Caenorhabditis elegans: one gene and its partner. The protein of the gene in region 2 purifies or fractionates together with the protein of the main gene of each other region. This does not show direct contact. Each region holds a gene or a part of one and is shown on either strand. Other genes may lie near its edges.

Region 1 (5,268 bases), on a different chromosome or scaffold from region 2:
ACCAGAAGCCGCTCCTGTCCACCTTGACTGCAACTGCAGAGAGCACGGCAGGTGCCTCTTCCCAAAGCTGACCTGATCCACCTCAGAGGTCTTTTCTTCCCAGTAGACATGTGTAGATCAAAACAATACCTCAGAGGTCTTTTCTTCTAAGTAGACATGTGCATGAAGTCAGTGGTGCAGTGAGCCCGAAAGATCCTGATCGCCAATGTTATATATTCGAGGCCGAACAAGGAGGCGAAGACGAGTAGTTTATTATTACATAACTAAGGAATAAATAGAAAGTTAGTATACATAGATAATGAGTTCACGTTACACGATCTTCATATCCACGTTAAGGGTAAGGTACACGTAGATACCCAACATTTTTTATTAGCTTTGATGCTTTTGGAGATATTTAAGTTTTAAAATTGATAAAAATCAGGTAACCTGTCCCTACTTAGAGCTATCATAACTATGCTCAAAGTTGAGCTACAAAAAATTTGTAAATTAACAACTTATAGAACAATTTGCGTAGATTATTTTGTTAATTGACAATCTTTTGCTAACTTTTGTAGATTTACAGATATTCAGATTTTAAAATATACCACCTTCGTTGAGCCGGTAACTAGCAAAATATAGAAAAATTTAGGAACATTTTTAGTACCAAAAAAACATTTTATTAAAATCCACGCAACAAATTTCAGATTATCAAAAACACGACAACAAGACATAATTGAAAAAAAAAATTAGCAAATTGAAAAATCAGTCCTCCAATGGTAAAGCGCTTCCAATTGGCATCACTTCGAAGACCAGGCACCAACTGACATGTGGCATAAACTCCAAAGGGTCCAAGTTTTCAGTTCTCTTCTTACCGTAGACATTAAGCTCGGATTCATAGGTCAGCGGGATGTTGAAGCAGTGAGGGAATTCGGTGCAGCTGGAAAAAAAGGAAAATTTGGGAAGAGTCCAACTTTGGAAGTTTATAAACTAGTATGTACATTAGATAATTTTAGAATATTTAATAAAAAATTATAGTGAAAGTAATATTTATTATTTTGCCAGTAAACAATTTTCCATCAAGATATAAGCCTCCATAGTTGAGGTGTAATGCTAAACTTCAAAAAAAAATTTTTGCATAAAATCGAACCTGCGCGCCGCAGAACAGGTTCTGCCACAGAAAAATTTGAAATTGTAAGTCAGAATTTTTGCAACGCATTTGCAACACGAAAGTTTTTGTAAAAGTTGTTAGAAATTTGAGTTTTAGTTTTTGGATAATTTTGCAAAAAAAAAACAACTAATTTCGAAAGAGCATAACTCAAAAACCCAACTACTTTCATAAAATTGCTCAACTGCAAAACCGTTGCAAATAATAGCATCTACAATCTTGTAGTTGACAACTTTCCACTAGCTCTACCAGGAGAAAAGTTACAGCGGCCGACACTTCACGGGCTTTTGAAAAGTTCGAAAAAGCACAAGTGAGGTAGTTTGTATCTATTTAAAGAGCCTCAAACTCAAATTTCGATGTATTACATATCAGTGCAATGTTCAAATAAAAACTAAATGAAGATTTTTTGTCGACTTTTCCCTAAAAACATGGTGCATCGGAGCTCCAAATTTCCAGCTGGTGCATCGATGCATCCTGAATTTTGCGAACTTACTCTACTCCCTCCATCCTCTTGCTCACAACCATCGGATGATCCCCGAGCAAGTTCAATGTGGATTGGGTGGCGTGATACTGCTTAACACCAAACGTAAAGCAGGTCCCAATACTCTTCGGTGTCTCGATCCAATTATCAATCAGCTGCACATAGTCATGATGGAACAGTGGACTATGAAGCATGTAGACATTCTTCTGTGGAAGCTTCAGTAGGAAAGGGATCCAGGCAAAGTTCTCCCCAAACATTTTCTCAGTTCCGATAACCAGACGCTGGGTGGCATGGATAACTGGGTGGTCGTGCTCTAGAGGCATATGCAAGCTCTTGAAAGGCAGAGTGCTCTCGTGGAAAATACTGTTCAGACCATCCCAAAGCAGTCCGAACTCCGTACCAAATCTCATATTGGAAACTTTCACTTTAAAATTCTCGGGGAGTCGGTAGACCCCACCTGCATCACCAAGCTCCAGGGTCTTTATCACAATTGGGTGAGCTCTTTTTCCGAACAACTTCTCTGTGATATACTTCATCGCATCATACATTTTCTTGTTATAATCCAGATACTCAATGATCCCATGGAAAGTCTCCCTGTCCCGCCTGAAGTCTAAGTTCATCCTTTGGAATCTGATGCCAAATCTGTATGGAGCTGGTTCATTTTCCTCTCGCCAGCTGTATGGATTCGTGTATGCTTCGAGTTGGTCGGTGACTGCTGGATCTATGTCTGGCTCGTCTTCGGATTCAGATGCTTCGGATTCTGAAGATGAATAGCGTGCTCTTGGGAGGTAAGCGTCGCCGAGGATACGCCGGATCTGAGCTTCCTGGGGGTCATCGTCTTCATCATCTGATCCTTCTGCTGGAAGATCTTCTGCTTCATCCTCATCATCTTCGGAAGAGCTTTCAGGGTCTGAAAAATATATTTTTGAGATTTTCCGAAACAAAAATTGGCCGCCGAAACACTTTAAGCTATCATATTTCAGCTAGAAATCAAGCTATCACAAATTTGTCAACTGAGATAGTGCTCTAAATTTTCTTAAACAGCAGCCGACATATCACTGGACTCCTTATCACCTACCTTCCCTCTGCTGCACCTGCATCCGCCCCTGTGGTCTTATAAAATCCCGCATTGCAAATTGCAACATCTCCATTGTCATATCCTCCATATTATTAATTTTTTCCTTGCTTTCAACTTTCAAATCTCCAGGGCTCAAAACCTCATTGCAGCGGGGATCCTTAAGCCCATACTGATCCATATCATAGGCAGCACCTCCATCTAAGTTCACATTGTTGATATATGGACTATAGTAGACATGGTCTTTCGGTAGGTGGCGGAGCAGTCCTAACGTGTACCTATGTCGGTTGATTCGGATGACACGGGGATTCATGTAGAGCTTGTAGATGTGGAGGGGAGCAGCTTTGTCGGCTGCTTTTAGGGAGTCACATCGTTCCACTAATTTAAATCTGGAATATTTTAAGTAGGTTGATAGGTGTTTAAAAGTAAAAATAATATTGGTAGCTGCCCCACTTCTAGGAACGGCTCAAAATTTGAGCAAAACATGGTTCATCGACAGAAAATTGCTTAAGTTATTATACTTCTACCGAAGCCCGTTTTAATAAATTTTTACACAAAGAAAATTGAATTTTGAGCTGTTAAAGTTGAGGAAAACATGATGCATCGACTGTAAATTTATCAACTTTTGCTCTGAAAAAGTAACCTACTAAAATATATTCCAAACTCTTTTTAAACTTTAATAGCTTTTCAAAAACTTTTTTCAGCTCTACAATCAGAATTCCAAAAAAAAATAAAAGCATACCTCCTATTAGCTTCAAAGAACTGTAGTACACATTTCTGGCACTCATATGGGAGTGGTGTTAAGCTCATATGTAGGTATTTATTACCTGTAAAAAAGTGGGAAATTGGTGCGAAAAGTGAGAAAAACGTTGAAAGAAACGAGAAAATTGTGAAAAACTGACAAAAAATGACTATGATCTAGTAAACAAATTTCCAAAAAGTAGTAAAGCTGCATTCGAAAGTAGTAAAATATTGCCAGAGTGTAGCCAAAAATAGCAAAATTTCAACGAAAATATAAAAAAATAGTCGAAAAATAGCTAGAAATAGTCCAAAAATTGTCAGAAATCGGACAAAACAGCCAAAAAATAGTTCAAAACTTGTGGAAAATACCCAATAATTGTCCGTCTTCCCCCTATTACATACCCCCGTTGGAGAGGCAATAGGGACCATTAGACTACCCTAAATAACTAGGTGACCTCTGTCCATCTGTCGCAGACGGGGCGGGAATGTTTATCTCTGTTGACCTTGAGCATCGGTCCTCTATAGAGAGCCTACACGTACCCGGACTACTTGATGTGAATGGAGAATTAGAATAAAAGAGATTCTATAGATTTTTTTTGTGAAAAATTAGTTCAAAAGCTCATAACTCCGCTGAAAATTGAGCTATTGAAAAGTTGTCAACTACAAAAATATTTCAAATTAATTTTCAAACATTTTGTTGGTGGAAAACTTTTTGCTAGCTCAACTTTCAGCTGAGTTATGATATTTTTAAGTTGGTATTTGAAAAATTTTCATGTGAAAAATCAATTGAGGCTTCTATTTGACAAACTATTTTAGGGTAGAGGGGGGCAAGAATCATGCTGGTTTGGACCAAATCTGACCTTGATACTAATATGTTGTTTACAACATTTGCCGTGTTTGCAAAAAAAAAACAGGCAGAAAATTAACTTTACGCTGGAAAATTGGTAGATATTGGGTCGCCAAAAATGCGAAAAAAAGAATGAAAATTGATCTTCAGTGCCCTTTTATTCGGGTTTATCATGGTGCATTAGCACAGGCTTCCATTTCAAAATTGGCCACATCCATTGAGATGTCGGATGCTGACTTTAATATCAACTTTGTTTGCAGCCGACACTTTCCCGGTTCCTTTCAAAATGTCGAAACAGTAGAAGACATCTCACAAGATTTTTCAAGCTTGTATTAACAAAAAATCAACCAAGAACCGCAGCCGACATTTCCGGGCTTTCAAGTGTTCCTATATTAAATCCGTAAATTGCACACTTGACAGAAATAAAAAATAAGGGCACGTTTTCGACATGAGGTGTCCCGAGAAATGTGACTGCACTTTGAGAACTTATATCTTAGCTTAGGATTGGCGTTTTTTTTTGAGCAATTTGTTTCAATAGCTCCAATCATATTGAGGACCGCACTTTTTGAACATTATGGCCACTTTTAACCTCAGCAGGACAGGCCAAATGCTATTTCATTTCACTCAAATCCAAAAATCAGGGATAAGGGCTGCCTGCTTACTCTTAGAAACTTTAGGCTTTTTCTATCCCTACTTCCAGCAGAGCAGGCTGGAGGACTTTTATGAGACTACGTCTGTATTTGAAAAGATCAGTTAATTCGGATTGAGGGCTGCAGGCCCAAATACACATAGAAGTATTGGACAATCTTTAAGCCTACTCTGAGCCCAATAATCCAGGTTGAGGGCCGCAGGCCCGAATACACGGATAGAAAAGACCCAGAAATAATATTATCTCAAATGACCATGGCTCAATCAGTTTTCATTCAAAATGATCAAAATTTTCCCGAGTTTTCCAACTTAAACTACTGCGAAGCCTAGCG
Region 2 (4,806 bases):
CAAAAAACGGAATTGGTTCGTCATCCTCTTCTGCCAGCCTGGATGATATGGTCAGCGATATGATGAAAATGTCAACCAAGAAATAGATTAAAATAGTAAAGTAGTTCAAAAATTATAGTTATTTATCATATTTTCACTTTCTTTCCCGTCCTGTGAATGTTTTGTACGAATTTTGCCAATAATTGAAAGATGGAAATGTACTTATAACGAGTATCTTCTTCTCTTCAATACTCATTTTATAAATCTTTCAGAAAAAAATCCATCCTCATTCCTTCATTTTTTTGTTTCTCTGTAAATAAAATGTATCCTAAATTATGCTTACTTCTTAACTTGTACATCAAAAAATTCAAATGTTTTATCGTCTACGAAAAGTAATAAATCAAGAAGAACACATTGTTCCGAACGCAATGACCTACTTGTATCGGGGTATCTCCAGAATGGAATGAATCGATCCAGCATACAAATGTCCAACCAACTTCTCGTATTCATACTTTTTCTTAGCGTTCTAGCGCCCACGCTATCCATCTATAAGTCAAAACAAAAACCGAACTTGTTGTCGAAAACTGTTGATAATAGTATAACGTGCGACTTTTCGATTCACAAAAAGGGACCTTATGGACAAGTTGTTTCAGGTATGCTTTAGTTCTGGTGTTTGAAAAAAGTTTCAGAAAATAACAAATTTGAATTTAAAAAAAAAAGAAGTTTGTAAAAAACTACAAACATATACAATGTCTGTCAAACAGCCTCTGTTATTGTTTCAAAAAGTTCAAAAATTTCAGGAGCATCTCTTGACGACGAGATTTACTATAAAATAAAGTGTAAGCCAATAACTGGAAATTGCCTCCAAGTTGTAAATTGCACATTGAGCTCGGATGAGCCAGGTTTCCAGCCATACCCTATTATTGATGATATGGGATGTAGCCTTGAAGAGTCACTGTTCAAAAATGTTCAGGTATCAAGAATTTAGGAAATTTGGAGAACAATATCTACAAAATGTCTATTTTCAGTATCCAAACCACTTTGAGGCGGGAATCTTCAATCCCTTCCCAATTCGGTTCCGTGCGTCGTCTGCCGCCGTTGTCTTGTTCTGTGTAACAACTGTGGTTCCAATTGAACATGGGCAGTGTACTCGCAGAAAATGTCAATAGATGAAGTTTCATGTTCATTTACTTTTCACTTCTGTGATTTTATTTAACAACTTCGATTTTAAATCTATGGTTATCTGGTGTTTTGTCATTTAAAACATTTTAAAGTACACGTTTTCATTGAATGAATAACATGCATATCACAATCGGAATTGTTTTTTTTTTTCATTCTCTCTGTGTACTTTCAAGCCAGACAAACATTACGCACGTATTCAGAAAAAAAGTGAAAAAAAAACGGTTTATGCAAATGTATCAGAATACCATGCAAACCAGCTGTAGTATTAAAAATTTGTTATATATATTTTTTACTTTCACTCTCTATCTATTTTTTTCTGTTTTTTGTCGGCCTTGAACTTGAACTACCTTTTTCCAATCATGAAGCAATGAAGCGAGCGTGGATTTTTTTGTTTTCCGCTGTGATTTGCTGTTTCTATCATCTCTATCCATGAATTGCATCACCGGATTGGAGGCGAAGTGTCCTACTATAACCGGAGTAATTCGATCGATCGATCAACCCTGCGCAAGCGAAATTTAGAGAATCTCCCTATGCGCTTGTTGAATGGAGATATATTAGAAATATGGTTGGAACACGCGGATGCGCAGACGAGTCTCGCAATTGACCGGTTTTTAGGAAAACTTTTCCCCCGCTTACCTCCGGACGTTCATCCTTAATACTGTTATTTCTAGAAGCGTCAGGCGACCTTTTCAATAAGTTCACTAAACATGAGTATGTCGCAAGGCGCATCATTTAATCACTTGATCCAGTCTTGGATCGTAGTTGCTTCATGCTTCATGACCCACCAAAGTGAAAGACTATATCATTTTATTCACCGTTTCTTATCATTTTCGTCTCTTTCTCACTAAATCGGTCACCGTGATCTTATCCTTAACCTCGTTCTTTATCTTTTCAATTAGGTGTTCAATTTTTTGTGATCACAAAGCCGTTTTTCCAGATGAAATGTTACTTACTTTTTCTGTTATTGGTACCTGTAGTATTATCAGAGCGAAGCAAAAGGCAAAGTAAGTTTTATTTTTAGCGTCCTTGTAAACCTAAGCAATCTTTCACAATTTTCAGTTTCAATTGATGACATTATATCCGGCGCATTAAGTCTCGTGAGACCGATCTTTGACACTTCAAAACCTATTCAAAACGAAGGAATGCTTAGAAAACCAGTGAGTTAAACCAGTAAGCTTAAACCAGTAAGCTCAAAATCAGAGTCAATTCCAGAACTGATCGAATTAGGTGATATAAATTGAATCACCAATATTGCCTGTAAGCTTCTTTGCAAGCTTAAACGGTGAGGTAAAACAATCTGGGAATTCGATTTTTAAACCCAAAATAGCTAGAAACCTCCGAATTTTGTAATGAGACGTACTCAAAATTCCTCAGAATTACTGAAGGCGGTTATAAGTACTGAAAAAATGACTGTTTTAAAATCTCCAATTTTGCAAACTTGACAAAATCAGAGCCTAAATCAAAAAACAGGACGTAATTACAAAATTACGCAATAAAAACTTACATCCACAAATGGTCGCGCAAAATTTCTAGTAAATCGAGTAAAATTTGAGATTTTAGTGAAAATTTACATTTTATTCAAAATTTAGAACCGCCATACCGTTTTTGAAAAAAATTTCAGAACGTCTTATCACGAAATTCAGTAGTTTTGAGCATTCTGAACTTTCCAATGCTTCAAAAATTTTGAAAATGACATACGCGAGCACGCGTAAAAATTAGTTCCAAATAATACATTGAAATTTTAAAGGACGCTCCAACTCAAGATGATATGCGCGACTCATCAATTTTGGGATCACACTCGAGAACTGCGTTAGATGATGTACCACTTTGCAAGGGGAATAGCAAGTAAGTAATTCGAATGTTTTGGAACTTTCATTTTTTTTTATTTTGGGAATTTCAGTATTTGCCGATTCATTTCGTGTTCTGCTGAAAACTTCAAAAAAGATCCGACATTTGGCAATATACAACTTGCTGCTCAAATACTTGGAGATGCTAAGCTTAGAAAAACTATCAGCAGGTACGGTTGTGCAAACAAAAAAACAAATATAATAAAGTGTAAATCAAATTTCCAGTAACTCTGATGCAGTTCACGCTGTATGCAAAGAACAAGGCATGGATGATGCGCAGTGTAAATTATTTTCCAAGGGATTCCAATTGATTGATAAGTATGTTAGCTTTAACATTGAAACTTATAGAAAAAATAAGTTCAGGTTCATGACATCTATTGAAAAGCCAACAGATGCAAAAGGCGGTGCACCTCCATCCACAGAACCACCAGTGACATCGATCCCCGATTTTGATGAGCCTACTGATGATGAGCCTCAAAAACCAATGATGGACGATCCTGCACAATTACAAGACGATGATAATAGAGTATGGTTTTCTTTTTCTCATTTTAGAACAATGAGAATATTATTAACAATTTCAGAAGCGCTGGGCGGATTATGATACCCCATCTATTACCCCGGTGATTCCCGTGCAAACAGCACACGGATCCAAAACGTGGAGTAGCAACCCTGAGACAAGTATGTTTATTTCAAGTAAGCTTTTCATTATATTTAAAATATTTACAGAATCATTACAACCGCTGGAAATCAGAAATGATCTTGTCTCTAGCTGGACTCAAATGCCATTTTTCGCGCCTCCAACTATTCCACCAGCCCCGCCGCTTGCTTTCAAATCTGTGCCTTCACTAATTTTACAACCGATTCAAGCACCACAGTTGGAGAATGGAATATTCTTCTCGACAGATAAATTCAATTTCCTCAAGGTGAATAACAACTTGAATTTTTAAAATCTAAATTTTTTCAGGACTTCAATCCGATCAAGCGATTCAGACGATCTCCTGATTACTACGATCAGATCGACGAAAAGAAGAAACCTTCAAAAACTTCTGATTCATCTAAAAAATCGTCTGGCAATACTGATGATTACTATGGAAACTTTGATAGTGACATAGATGAGAAAGATGAAATTGAAACCACCGGTCTGAAACAGTGCGTCCATTTTCTGGGACTTGGTGTATAGATCTTATCCACATATGTACAGTTTTTCTATCATTTCTTATTTTTTAAAATTTCAGTTGTTTGATTGACGGGTGTAATAAATCAAGATTCTTTTGAAATGAAAAACTTACTGAACGCAAAATTGGAAAAAAGAAATACTCTGGTTAATGGTCCTGTTTGGAAAATGTGTGATTTGATTTGGACAATAGGGCAAATTTGCATATCGATGTTTTTTTCCAAATCTGTTAGTGGAAGAACTGACTAATTGACACATTGTGACTGTATGTATATAAAAATTTTGATACTTCTGGTTTTTAAGTTTGGTTATGAGCACGTAACTGTAAACAGTTTTCTCATTCGGCAATATTCTATTTTTGAAAGAAAAACATTTTTTAACACTTTAAATAAAATTTAATGGCTGAAACTTTCGTTGTAAATAAATGTTGACAATTGGTGAAATAGTTCAATTCGAAAAAGTTTTGAAACAGAAAACTTATTTTTTAAAAAATCTCTAATTGCCTTTGGGATCACAAATGAATAGAAATTATTGAATTGAATCAGAAAAAGAAACAATTGAATTTTCCGAGTTTGAAATACAATTTTTGCGAACATTTTAAGAAGTGCAATCTCTTGAAGGAAA

Evidence for each region.
Region 1: the proteins of F46G11.2 (region 2) and fbxc-51 fractionate together in Caenorhabditis elegans (co-fractionation; one large-scale study listed by BioGRID). This does not show direct contact.

What each region holds. Positions count from the first base shown.
Region 1 is NC_003280.10:867,073-872,340, reverse strand, and holds fbxc-51 (F-box C protein), read right to left. Parts: upstream 3,528-5,268; 5' UTR 3,511-3,527; coding exon 3,443-3,510; intron 3,090-3,442; coding exon 2,704-3,089; intron 2,536-2,703; coding exon 1,638-2,535; intron 917-1,637; coding exon 742-916; 3' UTR 642-741; downstream 1-641.
Region 2 is NC_003284.9:5,786,065-5,790,870, forward strand, and holds F46G11.2 (uncharacterized protein), read left to right. Parts: upstream 1-2,096; 5' UTR 2,097-2,098; coding exon 2,099-2,165; intron 2,166-2,220; coding exon 2,221-2,318; intron 2,319-2,908; coding exon 2,909-3,006; intron 3,007-3,061; coding exon 3,062-3,178; intron 3,179-3,233; coding exon 3,234-3,326; intron 3,327-3,371; coding exon 3,372-3,534; intron 3,535-3,589; coding exon 3,590-3,686; intron 3,687-3,734; coding exon 3,735-3,931; intron 3,932-3,972; coding exon 3,973-4,188; 3' UTR 4,189-4,281; downstream 4,282-4,806. Other genes in the region: gakh-1 (Protein kinase domain-containing protein), read left to right, coding at 1-86; F46G11.6 (ZP domain-containing protein), read left to right, coding at 464-632, 780-952, 1,008-1,148.